Astyanax mexicanus: one gene and its partners. The protein of the gene in region 1 interacts with the protein of each later gene in a biochemical or structural test. Links are inferred from orthologs where the notes say so. Each region holds a gene or a part of one and is shown on either strand. Other genes may lie near its edges.

Region 1 (10,266 bases):
CAACTTAAGGTAGCTGAATGCATTAATTAGAAAGGGTGTCCACAAACATTTAGACAAAACAAGTATAAAGAAACATGCTTTGCATTAGTTACTCTCTACGATTCAGTTACCCACTTCCTTTTGCCACTTCTGCTTGGGACTATACTGCAGGGTTAAACAGGGTGTGGTAGGCTGACAGCAGATCACATGAACAGCTATTGTATATTGTATAACCAAGAAATAAAGATCAGAGGTTATTCACAATCAGTGATATACAGTCATTTGATGACATTCATCAGAATGATAGTGATGTGTGATGCATAAAAGAAGATATCAAAAAATAAGAGTCTATAAGAGTCTAGAGTTTATTAGTAATATCAAAAAGATATTTAATGCTTTTCCAAGTTCCTAGTTGCTCTTAACAAAAACTGGTATCTCCAGGAGTCAGGAGATACTAAAATGCTTTGCAAAAGCAATGCATCTGAGCAGTAAGTGCTTATTTGTTCAAAAGCACTAACACATACATTTGAAATGATAAAGGTATAGCATGTATTATCACACTGGTTTTGGTTGTTGGCTGTTACAAATAATACTTGCAACATATTTCAACATATGCAACATATGTGTTTTTAATATGGTCAGAGATGTTAAAGTTATTGATTATAGAGTTTAATAACCAGGTCCACTAAGATGACATTCTTGGCCCCTTGAGTAAGGCCTTAACCTTGTTGCAGTGGTCCTAAAGTATGGCTGTCCCTGCTATCTGTCTTCCTAATATGAGATATGCAAAGAGAGGGGTTTTACTATATTAAAGGAGTAAATTAACTATAAAGGCATATTTCATTAAAGTGAATCAGAAAATAAAAGTGCAACAGATTACATATAGAACTGTGGCACTGTACCAAATGTTCTTTTTCATTGCTGACATTTCTTAGTGTTCTTGCAGCAACAGCCCAAAAAAAATAGACCCTGATATGACCTTTAATCCACTGATGTTAGTGAGAGAGACAGAGGATTTCACAAATAAAACAATTGGGCTAAATTCAGACAGATATTGCCATTGTAAAGTGGTAACTCTTTGCCACTGCATGGACTTTCCCAAGGCAAAGCTGTTTGAGGAAGTGAGCGGAGATATGAGATCAGGTACAGTAGGTTGGTTATTACCTTTGTTCCTCACCTAAAACCAATGTTACTTCCTTAAGCAAAAATATCTTTATCTATAATAAGCCATTTTAGCTGCTATTCTCTCCTTTCTTGTCCATTTTGATCTTGAGCTGATTAATCTTAGGCTCCAAATCTTCAAGCTTCCTTGGTGCCTGAATACACAGTATCCCATCATGTGAAAGGGAGACCTGGAGCAGAAGTGGGTCCACGCCCATGGGAAGGATGTAGGTACGCGTGAACTCTCGGCTCACAAAGCCGTGGTCATCCATTCTTTGCGCGTGGCGGCCGGTGACCTCCAGCAGGTTGTCCACTGTTCGTACATTGAGCTCATCTGGAGTGAAGTGGCAGACGTCCAGCTGAATGCGGTACCAGTCATCGTCGCTGTTTACTTGGGAGAAGCCCCTTTCTAGCTGCTTGTTGATGCGAGGCCGGATGTAGTAACCATGGTACAAAACTGGGGCCATCAGGTCCTGAGGGGACAGGGCTGGGGATAGGGGGGTGAGGTCAACAGAGGGGATAGGGTTAGCAGTGAAAGTAAAAGCCAGCAGCTCCATTTGTGTTCAATTCTTTATGTCAGTCCTGCTGTTTTTCAAATGCATTACCATATTCTGCAAGTAGATTCTGCATGCATGTGTGTATGTGTAGGGTTTAGCAGGTAAAGGCTTGTTTGTGAATTTTGACATTAGCAGAACTAGGGTTGGGTGATATGGCCCTAAAATAATATTACGGTATTTCATGTTTTTTTTTTTGTTTGTGATAACGATACTCTTGGCGAAAAGACAAAACAATAAATTAAAAGAATACACTATTCTAGAATACATTACTGCAACAAAATGAAAATGAAATATTACTATTGCATACATTATTATATGGCACACCCATAACTGAGATATAAAAAATACAAGAATTTTATCAGATTTGTAAAAGAAGTCAATGATTCAGAATGTCATGATACTAAAAATGCACTCCTAATATCTCCATATATGCAGGATTAAAGTAAAATAAATGATACTGGACAGATATAATCTGTCTCTAGTAGATATATAATGGAAAATGAGAACAGTGTGAATTGTCCTTTTGTTAAAAACAGCAAAAAGTAGCACCTTGATGTCATAATTAGGAGTGGGTAATATGGCATGATATTTCAGGGTATAATATCGTTCACCATATTCAAAAATATTAGCAATATTATTGTCTACGATACAATATGTCACACCCCTAATCAGAACAGTATTCTGATTTTCCTACTACATCATCAGATCAGGCAAAAGTTCTCACAGTATGGGAAATGCTTATAAAACAAGAAAGTTTTCTTTACTTTGCATTTATTTCACTGTAGTCATATTTATTTAATTTGTTAATATACACCCATTCCTGCATTTCAGGCCTGCGACACATACCAAGGGACATCCATGCATTGCATGACAATGCAAAACCTTATGCTGCACACATAACAAAGGCATGGGTGCAGAATAAGAGGGTATCGTGCTGGACTGCCTTGACCACAATACAAAATGTGAGAAAAAAAATTAAAAGAAAAATGCAAAAATGATGACCATTTACTGTTAGACGTCTTAAGATATTGTTGCAACAAGAATTAACCAAAATAATGCCATTTAATTGCTTGCTATGCCCAGTGCCAAAACGTCTTTTAAATATTGTGAGAAGGAATGGCAATGTTGCAAAGCGGTAAATGTCTTAATGTCGCAACTTCTGTGGAATGTGTTACAGGACTAAAACACAGAAATAGATGTACAGCTCTGGAAAAAAATATGAGACCACTTAAAAATGATGAGTTTCTTTGATTTTACCAAATTGAAAACCTCTGGAATATAATCAAGAGAAAGATGGATGAAGCCATCAAACCAAGCTGAACTGCTTGAATTTTTGCACCAGGAGTGGCATAAAGTTATCCAAGTTATGCCAAGATGCATGAAAACTGTGATTAAAAAACTAGGGTTATTCCACCAAACATTGATTTCTAAACTCTGAATATGAACTTGTTTTATTTGCATTATTTGAGGTCTGAAAGCTCTGCATTTTTGTTGTTATTTCAGCCATTTCTCATTTTCTGCAAATAAATGCTCTAAATGACATAATTTTTCATTGGAATTTGGGAGAAATGTTGTCCATAGTTTATAGAATAAAACAATGTTCATTTTACTCATACATAAACCTATTAATAGCAAAATCAGAGAAACTGATTTAAAAAACTGAAGTTGTCTCTTAATTTGTTTCCAGAGCTGTACATTAATACATGAAATGAAGTTGAGCAGTTCATATTGTAATGCAATTAAAATTGTAAATGTAAGAAACACAGTGTTTTATTATTATTTGCATTCTGTATACTGTCCCAACTGAATTGTGTAGTGTTACAAATGCAGTTAAGTTGTTCAAATGCTGATCAATATAATTTTAAAATATCAGTTACGTCTAAACATCTCTCTGGTGTGGACATAACATTTAAAGCAGTTTTAAGCAATACATAATTCTTCTTCTGATATCATTGTGCATATCTAGATTTTTGTTAATCTACTAACTGAGTTCACTTCCTCATAGAGTTTGCCTGACAGTACCATAAAAATAGAACGTCCCTCCCCTCTATAAAACACCAGAAACTCTTACATCAGGTCTAATTACAAACAGTGTCAGCAGCGCAGGTCAAGCGTCATGTTTTTATTTTGATCATATACTGCGCCCTTATCTTCATGTATATATACTACCATTAATGACACACACTGTGGTTGCTCAGTGCTGGATATGAGATATTGGTTCATATTCAGTCCAGCAGTGGATGACAGTTATTTTTGTGTGGTAGCCTTGGACTCTTTGTCATGTGTGGTATTCTAAATATAAATCCTAGCCTGGGCCTTATATTTCCCTCCAGTATAAAAAGCTGTCATGGGGGATAGTGGATCAGGCAGTCATCACTTCAGTTGGCCCTTCTAGTGCAGGTTCATTGGCAATTAAACAACTCATGTTAACTTCATCCTCTGATATCACAAGTCTGCTGTTGAAGAAGTAGGGCAGTTCATGCAGTTTAAAAAAGTAAAATTTTTTCTTATTCAAAATGAAAGAGAAACTTTTTCTTCAGCTGTTGTTGGTTTAAAGATATTATTGAGTAGCCCATATCTTGTGAATGAAAAATAATGCCATTGATAGAACACCTTGAAGCAATTTATCTGGATTTATAAGACACTTATCATAGTTGCGCCCAGAAGGAATTAACTGACAGGAAGAAAATTTGGCGGGTAGTTGTGACAGGCTGAAGGATGGAGATAACCAACGTATGTGTGGAAAGTGCCAAGATCAACAGTTTGCTGTCATGTGTTGCACATCTATAGGGCCTGGTGTCACCAGAACACCTCTACAGTCAGTTTTAAATGCCCAGGGTTACATTAATAACGTCCTTCAACCAGTGGCCAATACCTTTTCAGAATGCACCCTGCGGTTCAACAGAACAATGCTCATTCATATTCTACTGCCATTTTAAGAGATTTCCAAAAAAAAAAAACACAACACCAGACCTATCCTTGATTAAAAATGTGTGGAATTCTATTGAACATGCTATAAACTCCACCTCTTCTGCAAAATTTGTTGAAATATTGTTAAAATTTAAGCTGCATGGAATAGTTTATTGCAGGAGACTGTTAGGAGACGTCTGGCTTGTTTACACATTACACATGCATTACACACTACTTCAATATGTGTAGCTCAATAAATACTTCCCACATCTTAATCCACGTCTTAATTTGCAATCATGTATTGTTGCTGGCAGCTTTTATCTTCCCTCCAAATAGCATAGCAATCTGAATACAAGTGAGCTTGACTTTTGATTGAAGATTCTCTTACCTTCTGCAAAGTTCTGGTCATAAATCCGTGCAGGAGTACACATCTCATAGTTCATACTCATGGGGTAAGCATGGGGAACGGTGCGGTCAGCCATGCTAAAGCATGGGCCGGGTGTCCAGTGCTGGTGAAAATGTAGCAGTCCTTTCAGGTACAACAAACAGGCAGGATTGTAATGGAGAGTACAGAGAAAAGAGAGGCAGCAAGTCTGTGCCCTAGTGCCTGGACCTTGGTAATAAACGGGTCCAGAAATAGCCTGTGGCGCACACACACGCTGGTGTTGCATAGCCTAAAGGGGGAGACACACTGAGTGATATAATTCTGGGCAGTGTTTTGGGTCTCTTTATTCAGAGTGGTTGGCTTTCTTCTAAAGGAAAGTAAATTAGCAGCTGTTCTGAGACTCATTGGAGTTAATGGATGAGTTGTCAACTTGGGGCAGCCACATATACACATAAAAGTGAAAAGGTCAGGAAGTCAGTTAAATACCCAAGGGTACTGTCAATGTTATGTCGGTGCATATCTAGAATTCTGCATAATATTCAATAGAATATACAATAAGTCATGGAACAATAACTAGTTTAATGTACCATGAAAGCTAAAGACTCCTGCCCTGCCCTGTAGTATATGTGTGTAGGTCTCCTGCATTGAATGGGTTTCTACCAGAGACGCGTGTATGTACACATAGACAATTCTAGCCAGACACTGCCGGTCACAATCATTACCAGCCACTGAGAGTGGGTAGGCCAGAGTGGGTAGGAGATGACTGATGACGGACTGTGCTGCTATGCCGACTGCGTAAGTGGCACTGTGCCGGGTGCTTGTGCCAGTTTGACTAAGCCCGCTGAGGCTGGCGGGCACCAGGGAAATGCTTCTTTGCAAGCACATTGACTCTGTATGGTGCTCAACCCTGCAGAATGATCCCACAACCATTCACCATCAGCCCACCGAACAAACTGGCCTCGCGCCCGGTGTTCTGCCGAAGACAAAAGACCCTCAAAGGGGGTTCAGACCTCAAACTACATAAAGCCAAATCAGGACATGAACATGATAATCTGCTCTGGCACACAGCTAGGCTGCTTGGTCCACAGTTTTTGTGCCAGAAAAGCCAAAAAACCAAAGGCTACACTCAGCACCTCCCATTAGATTCTGTATGGCAAAGTTTCCAAATGGGTATTCAGAGCAAGCCCTGTAATCCGGCCGGCATCTGCCTGAATGAAATCACACCACCGGTTTAGATAAATACGGAGAGAGGTATCTGGTAGAGAGGGATGAGACAGCTTGCAGAGGAGAGTGGGAGGGACGCAACGAAAGGGGGGCCATCAAACAGTTTACATCATTGTTCCAGAAAGATCCGCAGCTGGCTGGGCCTGGCTCTGTGACTGCTACTGGTGGTGTATATAAGTGGGCAGGCTGGGCAGACAACAGGTTTTTCTCCAGGAGGACAACGCTAGCCTTAGGTCAGAAGACGAAATGGACGTCGCCATCCAGCATCCCTGGTTCCGCCGCTCTTTCTGGCCATCCTTCTTCCCCAGCCGGATCTTCGACCAGCATTTCGGGGAGCATATCCCAGAGAGTGAGATGTTGACCCCCTACCCCTCATTGTATTACCCACGACCCTCTTTCTTCCGCTTACCTAGTTGGGTGGAAAGTGGGCTATCAGAGGTAAGCAGCTCTGACATCTGTGTATTTCTCCATGGTACATTCTATAACTCTATAACTCTATAAATCTACGTAATGTACGGCAAAAGGGTAACCTCGGCTGGAGAACCCCATACTGGAGAACGGTGTTGCCAGTGGTGTTCTCTTAATAAATGACACAGGGACTAATAAGGAAAAGTTATTTGAGAAGGTTGCTTTTGTGGATTCTGAGCTCCCTGCCTGGAGGTGAATTACCATTAATCTAGAAGACAGCTTAAGAAACCCTACAACAGGAAAATTAAAATGTGTATCTTACAACATTCCCACTGCTCTGAAGGACCATGCAGGACAAATGAGCAATATAAATGTGTGTTCTGTGAGTAGTTTTGTTGTCACCTCATATTACTCCTCTTACAGTGGCCTTGATTACAATAAATTAAGCACAATTATTTTGTGCTTTTCTCAGGCAAGTTTAAAGGGTGTTCATTGTCAACTTTTCCTTGCAAGAAGCAATTTTAAAGATGCCATTTTATCAATATGTTTGGTGATGAGCACATGTTGCTGCTGGAAGGCTCAGTGATTTCCCTGTAATAGAAGTCCTTTCCATCTCTGTCACTAAAGAGCAAGAAAAGAAAACAGATAACAGTTTTTTGCATACAAAAAGTTTATATATTTTTTTATTTTGTACTATATCCACAATAAAAACAACAGTAGTCCACATACAGAATAACCCTGCCATACAATATTATAATGTTAAGTTCTAAACAATGTCTTGTTATTTCTAGCAAATCATGTAATCATGATTATGTAAACTGTGTTTTAAAATTGGAAGGGAGCACTTAAGCTACATAAAACTGAATACTGGAAATCAAAACACATTCATGTTTTGTGCTGTCTTTTATAGATGAAAATGGAAAAGGACCGTTTTACCATCAATTTGGATGTAAAACACTTTGCACCTGAGGAATTGGCAGTTAAGGTCAACGGCGGTTACATTGAGGTTCATGCTAAACACGAGGATCGTCAGGTAAATACAAACAGCAGTGGTTTCTAACTCTGGTTATGGAGTACCCCTGTCTTGCAGAATTTGGTTAATAATTTTAACTTAATTGGATTTAATTAATTAGATTTAATTCAATTTAATTATTTTGATGTAATTCATTGAATATAATTTAAATAGATTTTAGACCAGTTTAGATTGATCGAATATGGTTAAACAAGAAAAACATAAAAAAAGTATGCCTGTCAAGATAAGAGATTTTATTAGACAACATACTGTCCCATGAAGTGCAATTAACAATATTATTGTAATTCTATGACTATTTTATGTCACTGATTAGAATAATGATAGAATAGCACAATAATGCAATTAAACCCATTTAAAGAACAATAAATTGTTAATGATTCAGACAATAGAAATGAAATTAGAATATCTTGAATAAATAAAACATAAATAAAACAAAAACAGATGTCCATACATTATACGATAAGTTAATATTGTAATTATTACGTATAGGAAGGGGTATTTTTCTCAATTTTTCTCCAACAAACCTTTTTGTCAAGTTGGTCCACTCTTATTACAAGCATTGACCTTCTGATGTAAGCGTTTTGTCTGGCTAACACTGCTCTAATATCATATTTCAGTCAGTATTCATTGTTTAATGCCTGTAAATGTATATCTTTTTCTCCAGGATGACCATGGGTTTGTCTCACGAGAGTTCCTACGAAAATACCGGCTCCCTCTCGGGGTCGACCCAGCCAGTATCACCTCTTCACTCTCTTCAGATGGCATCCTCATGGTTGCAGCCCCTCGCAAGCTCTCCGATGAGCCTGAGCGCTCCATTCCCATCACTCGAGAAGAAAAGCCTGCTATCTCTGGCTCACAGAAAAAGTAAAGCTGCTAGATACTTGCTCCTTTCTGTCTCCCCTCCGCTGTGGTCCCCCTGCACTTATCTTCCACCTTCACATCCCAAGTCAAGCTTTGAGGAAAAGCCAGTGCTAGCATTGAGCTGAACCTTCTAGAGGCTTGGCCTTTCCAGAGGCTAGTCCTAATCAAAGGGCTCATTTCTGAGCTAGCTAGTAACTGTTCTAGCACATGTTTCTGTGCTAAATAGTGATCACTGAATTGTCTAATTCGGTTGGCACATCAAAACCGTGTCCTCAGAGATATGTACATCATTACACCACAGGAGTATTGTTTGTGCCGCTCAGCCGCTGGACGCAAAACACATTTTGCTTCAGCAATCCCAACCACAACCACGCCAAACAAAAGTGCTCTTTGTCTTTTACAGCCAGTCAGTGGCAAACAATGGTGGCACGGAGTAGAGAATGGTGAGGGATTGAGTGTAGGAAGACTGGATGTTTGAGCATTTTTGTGATCAAGCGGTGAAAAGAAATTAGCCTACGAGGAAGAACACTGTGAGGGAATTTTCACTGAGGTAAAAAATGTTGTTTGTTTGGTTTCAAACGTTTCATGTGAAGTGGGAGGTGGTGTGCCGAGGAAAAATGAGTATGTTTCGTAATTTGGTACTTCCTTTTCATGATGGACTTGGGACCAGATGATACATGAAGATCAAGTGCAGGTAGCAACAAGGTGAGGAGAAATGTTATAGAAAGAAAGTGACCTCTTTTTTTTGGTAGTTTCTGTGGGATTCTGTAGACATGACTTTTCATTGGTTTGGATGGATTGATATATGGCGTCTGGAAACATCTTGTTATAAATGGAGCAGTGAATCAAATATGATGAGGTTTGGTTTGATATTGAAAAGCTGCGTTCCAAAGTCTAGATTGGCTCCATTTCTCAGCCACTTTGTCATAAAAGCCTGTCATAAGTGAAGGGCTCTTCTTATACAGCCTACAGCTGAGAAATGCAGTCAGGGTTTGGAGCAATAGACCTTGGAGTGCAGATAGAAAAAAAATGGGGATGTGGGAATTTGGTGGAAGAGATTATAATTAGTTAAAAATTATTCAGAGGTGTTTGGATTTCCTAAAGAATGTGTCTGCTGACTTTTTCACATATTTTAATGTGTTTCAATCAAGTATTTGCTCATATTCTACATAAAATATATAATACTACATTTTGCAAACAATAAAAAAGAGATTGGAGGTTGTTTACTATCTATAATAGCCATCTATTTTTACAGCAATGCTCCCAAAAGCAGACATCCCACCTCTCCCTTACCTCCCGGGATTCTCACACATACAAGGCATTAACTTGTTGAAATTAGTTTTTACAGGGCAGATTGTCTGCAAAAATATTATTGAGAAAGCTGCTTCAATAAGAAATGATGTGATGTTGTAACAAGGCACACAACGTAATACACTTTTGGAAACACTTTCTTTGTGCAAAGGTAAATGTGGACCACAGTTATTATATCAACTAAAAGGCACAAGTGAGGGGGACACACAAGTAGCTGTTTCATGTGTTCTTGGTTAGGATTGGTCTTTTACATTGTCCTGGGGTTAAAACTGCTTTTAAACATTCTACAAGGTTCTTTAACTAATACCATAGAACAGTGATGTATAGTCTATTCCACTCTCAGATTTTCATTCTAACCAACCAGCAGCACAATTAATAAACTCATGAGTTTTTTCAGGAACTGATAATGTGCTTCTGCTTGTCTGAAATGAAAACGA
Region 2 (10,646 bases), on another chromosome or scaffold:
AATCCAATTAAAACAGTATTTTTACACTCTATATAATGTGATGTACATTTAAGGTAGTGTTCTTAAGTACTGATACCCTTAATATTCTTATTGTAGTATACTGCCAAAACAATAAGAAAATCCTAATACAATAAACATTGTTGATATTTTGCCCAGCTCAATAATAGTAGCAGTAGTAATACTGGTAATATTGGTAGATTTGTGTGTATTACTACAGCATAACTAAAGGGTTCCACATCATAACAATTATAAAAATTGTAACAATACATGTACAGCACAGACGAGCTTTAATAATTACAACAAATGGACTGAATAGGTATGTAGGTATGCACTGGTATGAGAGAAGGTAGGCACAGTGCCACATTCTTGAATACTGACCAGTAATCATACTGCAGTGCCCTGTAACCCTATACCCACTACCCAGCACCCACCACTGAAGTTAGGAGGCTCAACATGAACAGTCCTGAAAATAATCTAGAAATGATCCTCTGGTGCTATAGCACACTTCATACTAAGCCAAAGTACACCTGATCCAACTGATTAGTGCATGAACAAGCATTTCCTGTGTTTAAGGAAGTACTGGAGCAGGGAATTGACAAAACATGCAGGTGGAGGAGTAGGCCTGCAACTATAACCAGTTTTTACTGGACAATAAATATAATGCCGCAGAAACAACTAAAATAAATGATTGTCTTATATTAGTGTCATAAAATAATCTTAAAATGACAATGAGAGCATAACACATTCTCACATGCCTTTTTAAAGAGAAATTAACTTTTAAATTATTAAAAATAGTTAAGACAGATTGAAATTCTGTTTTGCTACATTCATGCATTTTTATTTGCTTAAACTACTAAAGACTCAGTCGCTCCTAACTGAGATTACACGGTAGCAGAGGGGTATTATGTAATAAGCCTGGCAGCTTCTGTTGACCTGTCTACATAGTAACTTTAAACCTTACGGCCTCATGACTGCATGCGAACTAAAACTGTGAGCCATGATCTCCACTTCAGTAGACAGAAAGCGCATTAATTAATGGTAAAACCTGACACAAATCTACTCTATATTAAAATATATTCAAATGTTTCAACTTTTGCACTCTTGTCTTCAGGCTGTATTATTATTTTTCTTCAAAATGCATGCCAAGACTGCAAAATAAAATCAATGCACCCTGGTTTTACAACAGCAAATTACATATTCAGTTACAGTGACCTTGAAGAAAAAAAACAGATAAAACAAGGTAAAAGGGTCTTAAACTGAATGGAAACTAGTGTAGTATGAATGTCTGTGCTCATATATATATATATGCAGGCCTCGTGATCAGTTGGCAAGGGTCACCTGCATTCTCAATGACCTTTGACTTACATTAGCTAAAAGAGCTGCAATCATACTGCACCATATTCAAAGGGAGGCAGCATGGTTTTCCAAAAGAAGGACATTCCACACACAGCTCACAGATGTACCACAAAGCTACAGGAGCAGATCGGGTGACTATTGTGGCAGGTTCAGGTGCAAGACCAGAAAGAGAGCACTGAGGTCAAACAAGGTCATTTAATAATAATAAAAAAGGAAAAAATAAAAGAAAATTCATTTAAACTGGAATCCCATAAGCAACAGTTACACAAATGTTATTAGAGATTCAGCAGATATACATTACAGTTACAAAAAAAAAAAAAAAAAATTACATAATTAGTTATATTACATTATAACCACTACTACTAACCAGACCAATTCTAGATCTGCAGAGTCATATGGAGAACATGTACCAATGAGCAATATGACAATATTTCCTTGTAAAAATGTCTTCAATTAAGCGACAATACACTTTTTTTTACTAAGTGTAAAGAACACTAACCAAATTGTAACACCAATTAGTCCTGTTTTACTGGTTAAACAGAAGGATATTTTAAATAAAAATCACCATCATGTACAATAGTAGGAGAGTATTTAAATACCAGTTTATAAAACGGTTGCTACTAATGCATTTGGATCACGATCACATGTAAAATGTCGATTTTAACAAATATAAAAAAAAATATTTTCTATATAAAGAATTATGAACATGAAATAAAATGTTGCCAAATTATACAAGGGCAGGCTGGGGAGTACAACAAAAGCAAGAGAAATTAGCATGAGAAGCAAACACATGATGTGTCATGCACTTCTCTATACTGTAATAATTCTTTACATAACGAGTGTGATATAGCACATGCTTCACACCCAGCAGACAGACGTATGGCTTCAGTTAACCATCAAAAAGTACAAAGATCACGTAGGAAGCACAGCAATAACCCTGATAAGGACAGAGTCACTCAAGGAGCAATCAGTCTGACAGCCAAACAGCTGTTCATCAAGGCCTAACTAAACTAGAACTCAGACAAGAAGCAAAGCAGGCCAACACAGCCGTGATAAGCAATGACCTCTTTAGGTCAAAATTGCTCTTTACAGCCTTGATGAGGAAAGGAACTACTTTGCACATTTTCTTTTACACACTTCGTACTGTATATGCTTTCGGTGTTGATTAATGTTAAAAGAAGAAAGGCACATGATTCAGGACTTTAAACACTCCCTTTGAGAACAAAGAAATTGCTTCCTTTTTAAAAGGTAGTTTAAGGACTTTAAGTGAAGGGCATTATCAAATAGCTTAGTCCCAGAGTAAATATAATGTAAAGTAAAGCTACAGCAAGTGGTTTGGACTATATAATCATGGAAAAATACACTGTCAGAACCCATATGCTGGTTCATGGTATGTATACCATGCCTTAGCTTTTACTATCTACCACTTTGCTACTCACACAATAGCAAAAAGTAGCAAAAAGGCTGAAATTTTATTCAGCTCACTGAAACCTGACAACATATACGAGTCTGATGACAAGAATTGTGTTTCGGCAATGAATGAGACTAGAAGTTCACATTGTGTCTATAAATAAAGTCTACTGTATTCAATGGCCAGACATGTAATGAATCAAGTCTAGGTTCACATGCTCACCAATGTTTCGGCCAAACAAAAATATTGGAAGGGAAAAACTGAAGGTCATAAACTGTTGTCCTCTTCAATATTATAACAGTTAATATCTGAACTAGCAAGCTGAAATGTATTACAAGAAAAATCTAAGCTTGCATTGTTTTTAGCTTCTTTGTAGGTCTCTTGACCCCACTTTGTTTTTAAAACCTCTACATATATTTTTTGTTTAATCTGATAATCTTTATTGGTATTCTTAATTTAGCTATTTTTCCTTAAACGTCTTTATCTCGCTCTCTCTTTGTTGTAAATGCTTGGCTACATTAAAATAAAAATAAGGGTCACCCTCAAAATACCTGAGTGAAACTGATATCCATACCAGACAGGTTATATTGCATTTTAAACATTTGAGTAATTTTAGTGATTAATTATTCATTCAGCAAAGGAGGAAGGAAATGATAGCCAAATGCTTATTATTAGAAAGCTGATAATAGCAGCTTAACTTATTTAAACAGAATGGTCACCACTGTCAACCATACTGACAGCTCTCTTTCTCACGGTCACCTTATTATTACACGTTAATTAATTAGAACTATAACTAGGTTAGCTAGTTGTGTGGCTACAGGCCAAAGAAACACATTAGTTGGCTAATATAGTTAGCTTGAACTAAGCTAAGCTAACCTAGATATGTGTTACATTCTAGCTAGTCAGCTAACGCTAGCTTTCCAACAGCAAACTCTCTTACTCACAGCAAAACCTTGTAAAAAAACCTTCAGATAAATAGCTAGATGTTTATTTATTTATCTAGGTTACTTAGTTGACGTGTGCCAGTAATGTAAAATGATATTTTCCTGAGCTAAGCAAGGCGGTTAACTAACACAGTCTCGCCGTTAGCTTCCTAACCTACTTCAGTAACGTTAGCTGTCTATGTAGCTGCTAACCGCTAATATTAGCTTAGCTAGCTTAGCTTGTGTTAAATAAATGTGAAAGCCTCAGAGGACAACTAGCCTTGTTAGTTACCCAGCTACCCAGGTCACTAACGTTGGACACAGAAAAGACGATAAAATAGCCGCAGAAACATACGTTTAACCTTATTATTAGCGTTAAAGTGGTTTAAAGAAATGTAGAGGAGAGAAGAGGTTTAGCTAACTAAACAGATCCTTCCATAAAGAACTAACTAAGCGGCTGTGACGTATCCAGGTCCATAGAATGAGAATCCACTCCAGGATTTTGAATTTACAAGTCTTGTCTGTAGTGTTAGCTTGTTCATGCCCAGCAGCACTGGTTCAGCAGTTGGAGCAAAATCCTGGAGTGGATTCTCACTGTCTGGATCTGGACTATGCCATTTCGCTACTCTGCCCACCGGCCTGTTCCCGGAGAACCTCGGATAAGTTGTGAAATCTCACCTTGGAGCTGAGCAGCCTCGGCGCCAGCCTGCTGATAGTGAGGAAGGACATGTTAGCGGTCTGTGTTTATAAATATAAGTGGTTGGTAGTAGAGGATCCGCTGCCTGTGCGCCGCGGAGCTGGCTGAAGGTGCCCCTCTGATACGGTGGCCGCAGTGAAGGTTGAAGAAGGGACTCGGGCCCAAATGTAGCAGCCGCACTGTGGAGCGAGCGGGGCCTGATGAGGTGGAAACGACGATGTGCAACGCTATTGGTCAGGCCGGTGTTCAGCATAACCTGATTGGTGAGTATCGGTCTCGCAGTTTCATGCAATTGGTAACGTCCGAAATAGCGCAACTGTGCTTTTTTATTATAGCAGTTCTGTAAGAAACGCCTGAGGAAAAAGAAACATGGGTGCGTCCGAAACCTATGACACACTATGGGTGTCTGGAACGCGAGAGATGTTGACTTGATGCCTTGCCTCCCACACTTCCCAGGTATGCATAATTGAGTTTAAAATACTTCTGTAGAAGTTGAAGTATCAACTCAAGCTTTGTATTTTAGTAAAAGTGTAAAAGTGGTTTCAAAACTACTCAAAGTGTAAAAAGTTAAAGTAATGTAAGGGGAAATGTAATTAAGGCATTTAGCAAAAGCACCATGTTGGATTATTGACTTCTTTTACAATCTGGTGGAAATCTTAATTAGACGTCTGCCATATCATATTGAATGCAATAATAAATACATTAAACATTTTGTTACAGTAGTGTATTTTTGATATTACTTTTTTAAATTAAATGTTTTGGCATATCACCAAGAATATCACAAAAATACCTTAAAATATTGTGATATTATTTAAAGGCCATATTGCCTTATGGTTCACTACTAGATATGAGCGTTAGATGTGTGGTCAGTAAATGTTAGCATTTTAGCCCCCAAAAAAACAGAAGGGTATCGTACTAAAATTAAATGAAGACATGACCAGGTGCCTTCCTTCTTTAGAATCTAGCATTTTTTACATTTCAGGCATTTTCCGATTATTTTCTTGGGATTCAGTAACTTAATTTAATGTTTTTTTGGAGTTTTTTTGGAGTGTGTCTGCCTTATTTGGAACTTATTTATGGCTTTGCCAGTTGTCAGTGTTGATAAATGTCTAAAATTAGCATCTTTCTTTTAGACCAAAAACACTGGTTGCTAACAGGGTCAATAAACAAGGTGTTCATGTATATCTTGAATAATCATTCTGACTTGTGAAAAAGCATCAGATTTACACAGCCTAACCACAAATTAGCCAGTTTAGTTTATCTTAGCCATGGCTTTCTGTTGAGTACTACTAATCGATACGTGCTATTTAGTGGTTCTGTGCCACATAGCTATGCTAAGCTTCTTTCTTTCTTTCCTTGTACTCATTCAGTTCACACTTAAATACAGTTTGTCAGTGAGTCAGTAAGTGAAAATGGTTTTAGTCTAGTCCGGCAACAATTTGTCTGTAGCAGTGTTTCTCAATACTGGTCCTGGGGTCACCCTGTACTGTACATTTACTGGATATCTTATTTAACATACCCTTGTTTGAAATGGCTTATAAACAAGCTAATTAATTTAATCTGGTGGTATTGAAACTGTACAGGTATTGTTTTAAAAACAATGTTTATAATCACAGTACCTTGAAATTAAGTCACAGTAAGTCGATAAAGTAACAAACGAATATGTAAGATAGGGAAATAGATTGCAACATTGCATTTCCACAGAATTAATTTTGCAATCTGTTCCCCTATCCTACTTATTTTTACTTGTTTTTACCTTAATGACTCATTGTGATTTAATTTGAAGATGGCAGCTCCCAGAAAACTACCTGAAGGTACACTGTGTATAAACAGTGTTTTTTAATAAACTACCTTTCTCTACCGTTCTCAATGCCTCGTTTTAAAATGCCAGGACCCTTGGAATTCTACCAATGAAGTGTGGAGCTACTTTGAGCTGGTTAATAGTGTAAATATATATATATATATATATATATATATATATATATATATATATATATATATATATATATATATATATATAGAATATTTGTATAGAAAACCATTATGAAGTGTTCACTCTGTCTCAAATCACTCCCTCTCCCCTATGTAGTACATTTGCACTTTGTTAAATAGCAGCATCTCCATCCAAACAGTAATTTGTTTTTAATAATGATGAACTTCTGCAGTTCTAAGTCATTCAATGATAACCTATAGTGACACCATTATAGTCTTTACTGATTTTGACATGGTCTTTGTAATGGTCTTTGTGCATGTAGTCCATCACTAACAGGATGAATCATGGAGCACATCACTGCTCATTAAATGTCCACAGTCCGCCTTTCTCTTTCCACTACCACCAACAATATGCTAGGTTTAGGATTTAAGGGCAAAGTTTAAGATTAGCTCTAACCCTAACAATAATCTTATGATAAACTCCAACTGTGTGAATTACTTTTTCGCACTTCTCTAAGATACAGTACACTTTCAAAGGAATGTGTTTTGGATGCAGCCAATTGTGGTCTTGCAAAACTAGTCTTGCCTAGTCTTGTTTAGGTGAATGGTGAAACTAGAATGGATATGTTTGTGCTTTTGCTTTTGTCTGGTTTAGCAATTTGATATATGGTGTAAAATGGGTTTTGAGAAAGATTTTATGTTCCTTAAATTAAGATATTATTTCTAGCTCACATATTGGCAGCTAACTGAGTTTATCCTTGCCTGTGTTGCATCTAGCTTTCTCAATGGACATTTTTATAAATGACTCTTGGGCTGCCTAAGGCATCCTACATCACATTTATGCACAGATGTTGCGGCTGGGCCTGTAGATCCTGCTCTACACTTGTAGGTTGCTAAAACTGCTGTCCCAGCTGCTCCCATAAACGCTCGCCATTAGTTAGATTTTGCAAATTGGCAAGCCAAGGAAATGTTGCAATATAGTGGAGACATTCCTGTCAGTTGGAGACCCTGTCAAGAGAGGCAACACGTGTGGCGATAGGAGGTCCTGCACATATTGCTGAATTGTTGGTGTCCCTCGTATCACTACTAGGGGTTACTCACTGTCATATGCGATGATAATCAGATCATCACACCAGCAATTGGGGCTGTCAATTGGTGTCACTCCACAACAAAGGCAGGATTGAAGCGCTCACTATGAAGCCTCCATACTAAAACAAGGCTGTTACTGAAATCCAAACATAACCTGGATTTGTCTAATGTGTAGAGGGTTTCTGGACTGCTAATGGTAGCTGGCTAAAGGATGGCCTAAAGGGCAGGGAATTTGTTAAAATTACCATCTTGCTTCTCTTAGTCTAATGATGCACCCTTTTAAAATCTGTCAATCAATTCAGAAAAACTTTAAAGATCTTTCACCAAGAGGTAAACTACCCAAAATTAGCCTCTGAGTGCATATTTATAAGGCAGCCAGTGTGCATCAATTTCTTTTGTCAATTAATGTACTTGCTAAAACAGCATAACAAACAATATCAATACAAGAGACACAATAGATATTGTGAATATTTCTAAGGTATCTGTTGCTTATTAGGAACATGAGCAATATTTAATATACTCACCACACTGTACACAAATATGACACTTTATTGGAAAAGGGTCCTTAAAAACACACATCAAGGCTGAAGGACACTTACCCCAAACAAACTTCATGCAGCCTATCAATTTGCATGTCTCTCCTAATACATTTTTCACATTGGATTTTCCTGTATCAATGACATGGCAGCATTCGGATGCATGTCATTCTTATTCTTGAGTGCATGACAAAGTACATTTTATATCAGAAATTCACACAGTCACAATAAAAAAAGTATTGCACAATTAACAAATAAGAATAGTTTTACTTAGAAGACAAGACAGGATGGAAAGAAAGATGGGTAGATTGTGACAATCCAATCGTATTTAAGTCTCATTGTGGAAATTATAAAAAAACACTAGGAATGACCACATTAAAAGCGAACCTAATAGGTCACCAGTGGTCAATTATACCTGTTTTGGGACCACATATTTACTTAAGGCAATTTTTACTGAATGGCATTTTATTGCATTTTATTATTTCAGATAAATGCATTTTTGGCCTCCCACAATAAGTATGTTATCCACTGTTATCCATGTTATTTTATATTTGTCCATGGACTTAGTAATCTTTCTTGCCTTAATATTAGCCGATGTGTTACTAACTGAGAAGAGCCCATTAACATGAATATGCCAGTATTTTTATTTACTTTAAAGTGACTTTCTGCAAGTTTTGGGAATGTACCGACCTCTCTGGTGAGAGTGTGTAATTACAGAATACACGTGGAAGCATATTTTAATGCAGGTTAATGTAATACATTTCTGTATGAAATTCTGCTTTTAGTATAATATTTGGTCATTTTGTTTATTTATGAAAAACTTTCAGAATCTATAAACCATTTACATCCAACAAACCTACCAGACAACTCAGTTCACATTTTTATCACTGTTTTTAGAATGAATATATTAGATTTCAGGTATATTAATGCCAGGACACTGATGCCATTTTCAGATACCAAAATAAATTCACTCTCCCATCTCTAACTCACCATCTTCTAAAACAGGGTTTTTATTTATTTTGCTGGATTTGTCCAAATTTAATGTCAGAATATTCTTAATAATTAAAACTTTACTGAGTTGAAAAAATGGTCTAATTTTTGTGCTACTACTGTATTCTGTCATTATAATAATGGTATAAAATGGTGTTAACATATCAATAATATAATTTATGGCCATGTACAACTAAAACCTGGACTTCCTCACACACTAAATCACAAGACTTATTCACCAACCGTTTTTAAAGTTTAATAAAATGTTTTATTGGGAATTGGGATTTGTTCAGTTAGTGAGTTGGATAATGGATAATGGGATTATTATAAGAACAGAAGTTTGAAATACGCTGTGCTTTAAAAATGACAAATAAAAACTGACATTTACTATAGATGAATAAAATAAACACGTAAAAAAGGAAAAATTGATACATAAAACATAAGGAATTTTTATCTTATGAAGAAAAAAATAATTAGATCAATAAAATAATACAACTATTTAAAATGAATAAAAAATAATTTATATAAAATAAAAACAAACAAACAAAAAAAGAATAATATCAGTTTCAGTTTCAGTTTCAAATCAGTAAAACAGCTCACCAAAACCTCAACCTGTCCAAATATTGGACAATAATTGATTAACTTTACAGGCCCTCACTCATTTTCATTTATTTAACTAAACTGAGTTTTATATTCTTATATTATTATATTATTATATTCAGCCTCGCGCTGAATTCAGCTCCGCGCTGCCGGAGAGAGCGCCCGCGCCCGCGCCAGAGAGAGAGAGAGAGAGAGACAGAGAGAGCGCCCGCGCGCGCGTCAGAGAGAGAGAGAGACAGAGAGAGCGCAGCGCAGCGCGGCGAATTTTGCTTACCCTAGACTATATATAGTATTAAAATGAAACCCCTTAAAATCAAGAGGGCTTCGCGACCCATCGTGGATCTTTGGCGACCCATAGGTTGGGTCGCGACTCATAGGTTGGGAACCACTGTGTTAGATGGTATGGCAATAAAACACCTAAAAATTGTGGATTAGGCATGGTTTGCTTTAAAAATGTACTTTTATTCATTTTTTCTGAATTTTCTGTACTGAAGCAAAGCACTGCCACTGTTAACTGATGTACCCTTATTGTAAAGAGTTTTGAAGCCATTGTGATTTGTGTAGCCAAAGCTGTGTGTAGTGCAAAGAAATAGATTAAAATGTCATTTAATTACGTTTTTTTTTTTTGTTCTTGTTTAATCATGTCTACTGTTATTATTATTGTATGTGTATTTATTTTTGTTCTACTTCACTGAATACCTCACTAAGGTGTAAATGGTGCATTTGTGTGTTTGTCTTCCCTATTTTTCAAAAACAATAAAAATGTACTGTTCCAGACAAAAGTTTGGACACACCCCTTCTCATTTAATGTTTTTTTCTTTCATTTTATTATTTAATTCACTCTAGACACTGTAGATTTTGAAGACATCAAAACTATGAAGGAACACATATGCAATTTTAAAGTAAAGCTTAATTATGTTTTATAATAATTATGTTTTATACTTTTATATATAATTATGTTTTATACTTTATATTCTTCAAAGTAACACCTTTTTGATGCCAACTTTGCTCACTCTTGGCTGATTCTTTCAGTCGGCTTCATGAGGGTTGGATTTTTGTGTGCTTGTAAAATGAATACAGTGTAGAAAGTTCTACAAAAAAACAAATATTAC
Region 3 (10,835 bases), on another chromosome or scaffold:
TGTTCATCATCAGCCCACACACTTACTACAACCAACCACCACTCACATACATGTATATACAGCTCTGGAATAAAATAAGAGACCAATTATAAATGATGAGTTTCTTTGATTTTACCAAATTGGAAACCTCTGGAATATAATCAAGAGGAAGGTGTATGATCACAAGCATGAAGGAGTGCAATGAAGTTATCCAAAAGCAGTATGTAAGACTGGTGGAGGAGAACCAGGTTCATTAAAAACCAGGGTTATTTCACCAAATATTGATTTCTGAACTCTTAAATCTTTATGAATATGAACTTGTTTTCTTTGCATTATTTGAGGTCTTTAAGCTCTGCATCTTTTTTGTTTTTTTCTCATTTCTCATTTTCTGCAAATAAATGCTCTAAATGACAATATTTATATTTGTAATTTGGGAGAACTGTTCTCTGTAGTTCATAGAATAAAACAACAATGTTAATTTTACTCAAACATATTCCTATAAATAGCAAAATCAGAGAAACTGATTTAGAAACTGAAGTGGTCTCTTATTTTTTTTCCAGAGCTGTATATAAAGATGATTTGACTTGATTTGAGCTAAAAAATAAATATATGGTTTATATAAATACTCTGGTTTGTTCATTTCGACCTCTGACTCTATAGGTGGAATTAGATGTTAATTATCATTAAGCACATCGTTGGCCGGCCACCTTTTTTAATTTTTAATTGTCCCAAATTCTACCTTAGCCCCCCTATTCATAAATCTCTAGTGATGACCCTGGTAAGAATCAATCAATTACACAACATTCCAACATGACAAGATACAAATCCACCCTTATTCAGATTTATTTTTTGCTTCTTTTTTTTTTAAATCCACACTTGCTTACAGGTTGATGTTGGGTTAAGACAGGGTTTTGTAGTTTATGTATCTTTCTCTAACTTTGCAAAATTAGTTACAAACATCAATTTGTTCATATTTATTTTTTCTTTAACAGCTTTTCAAACAAAAAGAAAGCATTCCACGCACTCTCACACAGCACAGCGATTTTTTGTTGGTACCCTTTATTGATCGCTTTTTGCACAAATCGCACTGTGACAATGATAAGGAGCAAAGCCTGAGTCACATCACTGCCCCGTTCACAGCCTCTGCCTGCTGGGGGCTCTCTCGCTCCCTCCTTTCTTTTGTTGTGGGGGGAAACGAGGAGAGAAAAGTGCTGTAAACAATTGCTGTGTAGCACCAGATCTTCAGCCTGTGCCATGAGGAGTCTAACTGGGCTGGCCACAGTTGTAGTGGATGGGTGGAGGAGAGGAGCTGGAAGAGGATGAGGAGGTGGAGGTGGAGGAGGGAGGGAGGGAGGAGGAGAAGAAGGAGGAGGAGGAGGAGGAGGAGCGGTCCTTACTGCTGCACTCGGCGGAGAGACTGCACCTGGAAGGTCTGAGCGTGGGAGCCCCACTCCCTGTAGTGTTTGTACTCTCCGCCGTGGCGGTCACACTCCAGGATGTACTGGTATCCACGATAGCCAGGGTACTGGTAGCAAACCCAGCTGAATAACAGAGGAAGAAATGGAAGAGAAGAGGTCAATAACATCATAGTTTTGGTCTAGAAGCAATGGGGCCTTTGTTTTGGCCCCAACTTTCTCAAAGTGCTCATATGTATGGTGTTAATCTCAACATTAATATCTGTGTAAAATATCCCATACTGTATTCACAATCTTTGTCTGTGTATCAATACAAATACAGTGCAGGATCTTTGTAAAACAAAAGCTCACTGTCTTAAACTGTGTTAAACTGTTTTGTCAGTTGTATTTTGGTAGTTGCATTGAGTTGTTTCATGATACTCACGCCCCACTTTGAACCTGCATGGATCCAAGCTCGTTGTTGGGCCAGCCCATGGCCTGAAGTGAGGGGTAGTCATCGCACATTTCCCACTGCCGCCCAATGAAATTCTCCCGCTCAAACACGGTAATCTTAGACTCCTTATGGTTCTGCACAGATCAACACAAACCCAGTCAGCTCACTGTTGTCTGCAACCTTTCGAGCTGCTTTGGAGGGATAAGTAGCAGTGTCATTAAAGATTAAACATTGAAAATACAGCTATGGAAAAAAATTAAGTGACCACTTCAGCTCTGAATCAGTTTATCTGATTTTGCTATTTATAGGTATTTGTTTGAGTAAAATGAAATGAATTGTTGCTTTATTCTATAAACTACAGACAACATTTCTCCCAAATTCCAAATAAAAATATTGTCATTCAAAGAATTTATTTGCAGAAAATGAGAAACGACTGAAATAACAAAAAAGATACAGAGCTTACAGACCTTAAATAATGCAAATAAAACAAGTTCATATTCATAAAGTATTGAAAGTTAAGAGATATTAGTATTAGGTGGAATAACCCTGGTTTTTAATCATAGTTTTCATGCATCTTGGCATGTTCTTCTCCACCAGTCTTTCACACTGCTTGTGGATAACTTTATGCCACTCCTGGTGCAGCTTGGTTTGATGGCTTGTAATTATTTATCTTCCTCTTGATTATATTCCAGAAGTTTCAATTAGGTAAAATCAAAGAAACTCATCATTTATTGTCTTTGTTTATCAGGATGTGCAATAGAAACTCAGACTCACAGCACAGCAGACTGGGCGGAAGGACATCAGCCTCTCGATATGGTAAGCATTGCTGCCACTCCACGATTCCCAGCGAGGGTAGTCTCCTCTCTCCAGGATAAACTGCTGCCCACAGTAGCTGGAGTGCTCATAACCAACCCAGCTGCCCAAACACACAAGTTCACTTAGGTCAGGATTCTTAAAAAAAAGTGTTTTTTTAAATGCTAAAAAACATCAATGTAATATAAAGAAATAATTTTGCGATTATATTGTATTGGATCATTGAAAGGCCTGGTTTTGTATATTATCTAAATCCACATAGCACTTATCTAGACCATCTTTATTACTGTAAACATGCTGACAAACATACTGATTTATAGGCTATACTGTATATTTTGAAGCTCTAATATGACTACATATTGGTGTCAGAAGGCATGACTTACGCTCCACACTCCACCTTCAGGGAGCGGATATTATCCACTCCACACTCCATGATGTTCTGGCAGGATGAGGTGAACTCCATGCGCTTGCCCTGGAAGTTCTCCTGGTCATATACTGTGATCTACATGTGGAAACATGGCAGCAGGTTTTAAGAAGTTTGAGTACATTGGATTGGATCGGTCATTGCAATTTGTTCTTTATGCATTATGTATGTTTGTGCCTCTTGCCCACTCACCTTCCATGGTCCCATTGGCATGGGATTAGTCAAAGCCATTCTTGCAATTTTCTTAGTGCTGCTTGACCTGAAAAACACACAAGAGCACAGAAGAGTATACTATATACTATATATATACTGTATATTTAAAGAGAACTGCTATGCATTGATGCATTCAGATGTCACAAGTCCCGAAGTTCCAAAGAATATAAAGATATAAAGCAAAAGCATGTATTTACTATATTGCCCCAATCTTTTATCCCATATTAGTGTTGATCCTTCAGTCTACATTTTACAAAAGTCATTAACATTTTTTTCTATTTTAATCTAAATCATGCATTTTGTAGGTCTTAATGAAATAATAAAAATAATAAAAATAGTTGGTGCATGTAATGTAATAATGTGCATTATAATTAATCAGCTGGGTTTTTTTGTTTTTGTTCTTGGCAGATTGCATATCTAAAGTTTTGCTATAATACTTCTATTCTTGAGATGCATTGAGTTGCATTGTTTTGCATGTAGGTAAAGTGTCCATACATGTCTCTCAAATATTAAAAATATTAAAAGTGTCCATGCATGTCTGCCTGTTCTGTTCTGTTTGTTTTGGGCCACTGTGTTGTGCAGATTTTTGCAGATCAGCGGAAAAAAAGAGCTAAAAGGAAAGCGGCTGAAAGGACCGAGATGCATGGCTTACCTGACCTACCCAACAAATAGCTGTGTGCGTTCAGGGGGGCTCCACACAACGGTCTCCTGACCTCTTGCTGAGGGCTCTATTTATACATGGCTTGGGTGAATAGGGAGCTAGGCCACAGGCTGGGCAGCAGTCAGCACTTTGCTCCAGGCCTCATTGTTCGTTCCTGAGCCACTGGCTTTACCCAGTCCACAATACCAACTGTAAGGAGGGCACGGTGCCCACTGCGTGCTGGCACCAGGCTGCGTGCCAGGCTGACGGCTTCCATACATACTTTTTTTTTTACACATGACGGGTTTCTGGTGGTGGTCAGGCGAAAAACACACGGATGGGGGCGATGCTAACTAGATAGCAACTGCCAGACTTTCCTCCTTCAGAGTGTTTTAAGTAAATCTAAATCTAAAAAAATTAGAGCATAGAAATAAAAATAAAAAATCAATATAAATACATTTGATATAAAGTATAGTCTACTTTAACAAAGCCTCTAACAAGAACATACTATACAACCAAACCACAGAGCACTGGTTCACAGAGCAGCGGGCCGGTGCTCACAGCTCTCTAACCTCACACACGACTAGTGCCTCAACTGACCTCCAGCCTTTACATACCGGTACTCACACACATGCACACATGCATGCACACACACACACACACATAGACCCTTACGTGTGCAGCTATTCAACATCCATGTCCTGCCCACTCCTTTGACTGTATGCAAAGCAGGCAGCTGGACGGGGCTAGGTGGAACATGAGGAGGAGTCTGACTAGGTGAAAGAAAAGTGAGATGCAAATAATTCCTTTAAATCTAAAGATGATTCATTTGGACAGTTAATTGATCATGAAGGGTAAGTGGCATCCGTATATTTTTATTATTATCATTATTATTAATCATATATTAGACAGTTTTGAAAGTGTCAAATGTGTTGAAAGTGTCAAATCGTGTTTTAAGTGAGCATATTTTAATGCAGTTTAGGCTTAAAGTTGCTAACTTTTACTATATAGTGCTACTTTTACTATATGGTATATATAGGTGGATGCTTGCTACATTAGGCCAACTCATTACGGTAATACTATTCAGGCTTGACGTTCCTGTTTTGCACAAGATCATAGAAAGTGAACTCATCAAAACAGCTGCAGGTATTTTCAAGTCCACCAACATACACACAACAACAACAACACTGAAGCATCCCACTGAGCTGAGCCCAGTGGAGTGAACTGTGACTAGCCTACTGAGGTCAGCACATTGCTATCAGTGCTACAGTGAGAGAGAGAGAGAGAGAGAGAGAGAGAGAAAGAGAGAGAGAGAGAACGAGATAGAGAGAGAGAGAAATGGAGGGAGGCTTTCTGCTGATGGAGGTGGGTGTCCAGCAGAGTTGTGGAACAAAGCGACCAGCAGAGTCAGCAAGGCCACAGAGATAAGCTCGCTCTCCACGCCCTCCCCAAATTCCCATCACTTTTATCCAATAGCATGGCAGCGTGCAGGCCTAATAGCTCAGCTGGGATATATATGTATATATAGAAGCCTTCCAAAGGCCGGACCAGCCACTTCATTTGGGCCTTGCCATCTTTTCCTCTGCCAGCACTCCTCATACATTCCATTGCTCTGTGCCTGACTGCAGCATTTTGGTGAGATTCAGGATGTGGGTGGGTGGGAGGGTAAGTGGGTGGATGGATGGATGGATGGATGGATGGATGGATGGGAGATTCTGAGGGAAGGGACCAAATTAAAGCACAAAGAGGACACCCCTTCATGACATGAGACGCATACTGTATAAGACATGGGATTAACTGTGTTTGGACTGTAGTATTCAGGATGAGGTTTCTTCCTACGCTCCTTTGGGCTGATCATTTGGAGGAGAAAACTTATATGGCTTGTTTGAAGCTTATATGGCAATGTGTTGTTTTGTTGCACAGGCATAAGGGAAACAGAGGACTGATAATGGAAAATGCGTTAAATAAATTCAGGGAAAAGCTGTTATATGCTAACCCACTGTTGTATCTAAGGTTTTCCAAATATATTTATTTCACATTGTTTGTAGTTTTGATTGGTGGTTTAACGTGGCCAAGCAAAGCCAATTGGTGGCCTAATGTGGTCTAATAATGCCAAACATTTGGTAATTCAGATGCAAGATAATTTCTTCATCTTCTATTGCTCATATTGCTATATGCTAATACTATGTTCAAATACTGGGACAAGCCGCTTACTTGGAGAGCACAACTCGTCATGATCTCTCTGGGTAACTAGATGGTGCTCTCTCCCATCATTCAAATTGTGATGCTGGCCTGCACAGTCGTCTGTTGGCTGATGTATCAGAGCTAAAAAAAATATATATATAGACTTTGAAGTATCGTAGGAGGTATGTATCAGTTCATACCTTCCTCGAAGGGGGGGGAGGGGGTTGTGGGGGAGGGGGTTGTAGTTATAGGAGAGTGATAGGAGTGCTAGTTAGTGGGTACAGAAGGAGATAGGAGAAAAAAAATAAAGATATATATGTATATGAACTTATGTGCAATTTTACCTAATGATTTTACTAAACTTTATCTTGTGTTGGATTATGTGATTTACTGTAATGTTTTATTTAAATGTGTCCAAATTGGGTCTGAATCTGTGTTTTGGTGGGCTCTGAGTGTGTGTCCACAGGGAGATAGTTTGTTAATAGATTTTTCCAGTGATTAACGTTATTTTTTTGTTTTCCAGTTCATGAGGATGATTTTTTTGGCGATGACTAGCGACATCAAGATTATTCTATTGTTTTCTGGTGTTATATTAGTGGTTGATGAGAGTTGGTGTTGAGTGAATTTGGGTGGTTAAGGCATGAGATAGGAGGGTGATATGTTTAACCTTTTAATCTCACTCTCTCTCTGTGTCTATGCTTGCAGCTTCAGCCATGTCTCATACTGCTGTGCAGGGTAGTGTCGGGAGCCATTCTGCCATGGGGATGAGCAGCCACAAAGTAGGTCCAAACTTTTGTGGAAGAATGATTTCCCTCTGTTTACTTCAAAACCCCATTACCACTGGATTGCACCATGTTTCATTAATTCTGATCACTCTCCTGTGTGTGAGCAGATATGTCTGTTCGAGTGCGAGAACTTCCAAGGTCGCAGGATGGAGATAAGCGGGGAGTGTCGCAATATCTGTGAGAAGGGCCTCTGTCGCGTCCGCTCCATCAGAGTGGAATGTGGACCGTATGTGTTTAGTAACTGATATACATAAACACTATAAGACAACTAGGCTGTAGCTTTCCTGCAGCGACTCCTCCTTATACAGTGATATATTTATATTAGTACCCTTATCTTCAGTGTTTTATGTGTAAACATGTATTGTGTTTTTCTGTTCATCCATAGCTGGGTGGGTTATGAGCAGCAGAACATGTGCGGTGAGATGTTTATTTTGGAGAGAGGAGAGTACCCTCGCTGGGACACCTGGTCCAACAGCTACCGCTGCGATTGCTTCATGTCCGTCAGGCCAATTCGCATGGTGGGTGAAAGAGAATGAGCGGGTGATGCTTTAGCACATTATTAGATTAGGAAATTAGTGCTATTGTTTAATTTATCACCACATTTTGTTAATTAGTTACTTAGTAATTTAGCTAGCTAGCCAGTTATGGTTATTTAGCTTGTTAGCTAGCAAGCTAGCTAGCTAGTTAGCTATCTAGCTAGTTAGTTAGTTAGTTAGTTAGTTAGTTAGTTAGACACCCAAAATTGCCTTGTAGTTGTACATTTCTGTCTAAAAGCATTTTCACAAAATCAAAATGACAAAATGTATTTAGATTGATTTTTGGGCAAACATTAACGTTACCATGATTTCAGCTTTAGTTTTAGAGTAAAGTTATTTAACAAAGTTGAATCAATAAAGTAAAAACTATCACTCTTACCAAAAATGTTCAATAGTAGATTCTTATTAGCAGAGATCCAAAATGTAAACATACTCCCCATCATTGTATTTCAAAATATACAGTTCTCCTTCTGATTTAAACTAACTAAAGCTGGCCTTTTCTTTTTACTTGAATTTGCCACCTCTTCTAACAATAGCTGGAAAGGGTTTTTGCCTTTGTTTTGTAAAGTTTGTCCTATCTTGCTTGAGTTTATCTAGGCTATGGCCTCCTAAGTATTAGAGCCAGAGTATAGATAACTGTTATAATCCTCATTTATGAATATTTCTTACTATTTCTTAGGCTTTTAGGAAGTGTAAATAGAGCTCTGAACTGCTCCTGATGGACACTTTTTACACTTACTTTTCAAATCTAATCTAGAAAGTCTAGATTAGAAGAAATCTAGCAGTATCTAAATTGAAAAAGCATGTCATTGTCCAATGAAAAACTAACATGTATCTCCAAAACAGTTCCTTTATAAGAGAGAAATAAAACCTTCCTAATGGAAGTCAATGTAAAAAGTGTTAATTTAGAGTACTTTTGGAGTATGTCTTCTGGTCTATTCATTAAGAAATTTTGGCACAATTTAAGGGACAGCTTTTGTGTTCAAATAAGTAGTAAACTAAACATCTAAAAAAAAATGGAGATTCTTGTTTTTCATTGGGCTGATGTGGTTGTCTTTGATGTCTTTTCTGACTTTACTTTTCATGTACCATGGCTACAGCTCTGGAAAAATAAGAGACCACATAAAATTGATGAGTTTCTTTGATTTTACCAAATAGAGATCTCTGGAATGTAATCAAGAGGATAATTATCACAAGCCATCAAACCAAGCTGAACTGCTTAAATTATTGCACCAGGAGTGGCATAAATTTATCCAAAAGTAGTGTGTAAGACTGGTGGAGGAGACCATGCCAAGATGCATGAAAACTGTAATTAAAAACCAGGGTTATTCCACCTAATATTGATTTTTAAATGTTAAATGTTTATGAATATGACCTTGTTTTCTTTGCATTATTTAAGGTCTGAAAGCTCAGCATCTTTTTTGGTATTTCAGCCATTTCCATTTGCTCTAAATGACAATACTTTTAGGTAGAATTTGGGAGAAATGTTGTTTGTAGTTCATAGAATAAAACAACAATGTTCATTTTACTCAAACATATATAAATAGCAAAATCAAAGAAACTGATTCAGAAACTGAAGTAGTCTCTTAACGTTTCTTTCAGAGCTGTATATGGTAAATTTGCTATATAATGGTGTTTTAAGCAAAGTGAACGTGACATTGTTTTAAGATTGATCAATGATAGGAACTTTTAAACTCTTTAAATCTTTTAAAAACTTATCACATACAGGTAAGGTTAAATAATTATCTGATCATATACATTATGTATAATTTTAATAAAAATGACTTCAGGTCTTTTTCACTGTCCTTGTAGGACCCACAAGATCATAAGATCTGTCTATTTGAGTGTATGAACTTTGACGGCCGTAAGATGGAGGTCTGCGATGAAGACATCCCCAGCCTGTGGTCTTATGGCTTCCAAGACAGAGTAGCTAGCATTCAAGTCACCGGCGGAACGTGAGTCACTGTCTGTATCATGTAAATAAGCAATGACCACTGTGAATAATAAGCTACAGTATATATCATCGTACAGAGTTCTTTTTCATGAATGCACTTCCAAATGGAATTTTATTCTATGTAGGTGGGTTGGGTACCAGTATCCCGGCTATCGAGGATACCAGTACCTGTTCGAGTTTGGCCCCTTCAAGCACTGGAACGATTGGGGTGCCAACCACCCCCAGATCCAGTCTCTCCGTCGAGTGAGGGACATGCAGACACATCGCCGAGGCTGCTTTGATATGATTGCATAATGGACACGGCAGGGACTGACGTATGGCGCAAGAAGAGGCTCTGTGTGAACAAATCATCTCAATTCATCTCTTGGCATCTGCAGAGCCATTCAGAACAGAGCGCGGCTACTGTGGCAGACAGCTCTATTAGATTACAAAGGAATATAACATGTTATGGAGCAATGGGCCACAGTGTTGCTTCTGGTTGCTGATGACCTGCAGTTCCTTAGGGAAGAAGAGAGTGGGAAAAATAATTAGTGGCATATTCTGTTCAAACTCCTAGATAACAACTGGGGCAAATTGATCATGTGATGGATCATGTAAGGATCATGTAAAGACTGCTTTTTATTAGTTTTGTTGACTTGTTTTCACTTCTGAAACCCCTCTTATATTATTATTATTATTTTATTTATACATCTACACTCATATATGTTGATTAGGTATATAAAAATGGAATTACGATATTGATTTATTGTATCTTCTTTAGAATCTTTCCCCAGCAATCTATCCAATGAACTTCAACAAAAGTCCAAACCTCCTATTCATCTGGCTGCTTAAACAATACAAGGCCTGTACTGTAGGCAAAAGACAAAAGGGGGTGCTGTTTGCGCTGTTCACTAGCAAGCTCCCTATGTTCATATACTGTATATCTCCACCACCTCACTGAGCATCTGACAGGTATGCTATTGGTATGAGCAGAATCGTGGCTTGGAGTTTTGGGAAGGGCCCCTGACATGGCAGGCTTTGCTCAGGCGAGGATTATCTTTTCCTCTCCTTTCTTGTAGACAGGCTTTAGGACCCCATTGTCTCTGCTGATGAGGAGACATGTTGTGGTCCTGCTGTACCTGTTTCTTTCTCAGGGATGCTGGCATCTGGAAAATATCTTTCCTACAAATATAAATAAATATTTCAAAGTAATTCTGTTGTTTGTATTACACTGCATGCTTTTGTCTTATTTTATCGGCTATGTTTTATATTTTCCGTCTACAATATAATGGAGCAATTTTGGAATTGTATTTACTTATTAATCTACTAAGCATCCACTTAACATATTCATGTACTAACTGTCATACTGATCTACTAAACTATTATAAGATGCTGTAAATTCTGTAGCTAGTACAGTATGTTTGAGGATTGAGATAAAAGTCAATCTTAACCAGACTATGTGGGAGGTGATTGGAGGTGG

What was found.
Region 2: the proteins of cryabb (region 1) and cs form a complex in vitro, tested with the Homo sapiens proteins (3 studies listed by BioGRID). The link is inferred for Astyanax mexicanus from reciprocal best matches to the Homo sapiens genes CRYAB and CS.
Region 3: the proteins of cryabb (region 1) and cryba1a form a complex in vitro, tested with the Homo sapiens proteins (2 studies listed by BioGRID and IntAct, with this or other methods). The link is inferred for Astyanax mexicanus from reciprocal best matches to the Homo sapiens genes CRYAB and CRYBA1.

Annotation. Positions count from the first base shown.
Region 1 is NC_064408.1:26,482,683-26,492,948, forward strand, and holds the start of cryabb (crystallin, alpha B, b), read left to right. Parts: upstream 1-6,248; 5' UTR 6,249-6,462; coding exon 6,463-6,654; intron 6,655-7,534; coding exon 7,535-7,657; intron 7,658-8,321; coding exon 8,322-8,525; 3' UTR 8,526-10,266. Other genes in the region: hspb2 (heat shock protein beta-2), read right to left, coding at 1,212-1,627, 4,996-5,089. UniProt on the Homo sapiens protein: May contribute to the transparency and refractive index of the lens. Has chaperone-like activity, preventing aggregation of various proteins under a wide range of stress conditions.
Region 2 is NC_064420.1:6,229,635-6,240,280, reverse strand, and holds the start of cs (citrate synthase, mitochondrial), read right to left. Parts: upstream 4,570-10,646; 5' UTR 4,420-4,569; coding exon 4,369-4,419; intron 1-4,368. UniProt on the Homo sapiens protein: Key enzyme of the Krebs tricarboxylic acid cycle which catalyzes the synthesis of citrate from acetyl coenzyme A and oxaloacetate.
Region 3 is NC_064425.1:25,252,971-25,263,805, forward strand, and holds cryba1a (crystallin, beta A1a), read right to left. Parts: upstream 4,016-10,835; 5' UTR 3,930-4,015; intron 3,324-3,929; 5' UTR 3,296-3,323; coding exon 3,257-3,295; intron 3,143-3,256; coding exon 3,024-3,142; intron 2,744-3,023; coding exon 2,602-2,743; intron 1,962-2,601; coding exon 1,819-1,961; intron 1,521-1,818; coding exon 1,373-1,520; 3' UTR 1,020-1,372; downstream 1-1,019. Other genes in the region: crybb1l3 (crystallin, beta B1, like 3), read left to right, coding at 6,815-6,880, 6,994-7,112, 7,272-7,404, 9,235-9,377, 9,502-9,670. UniProt on the Homo sapiens protein: Crystallins are the dominant structural components of the vertebrate eye lens.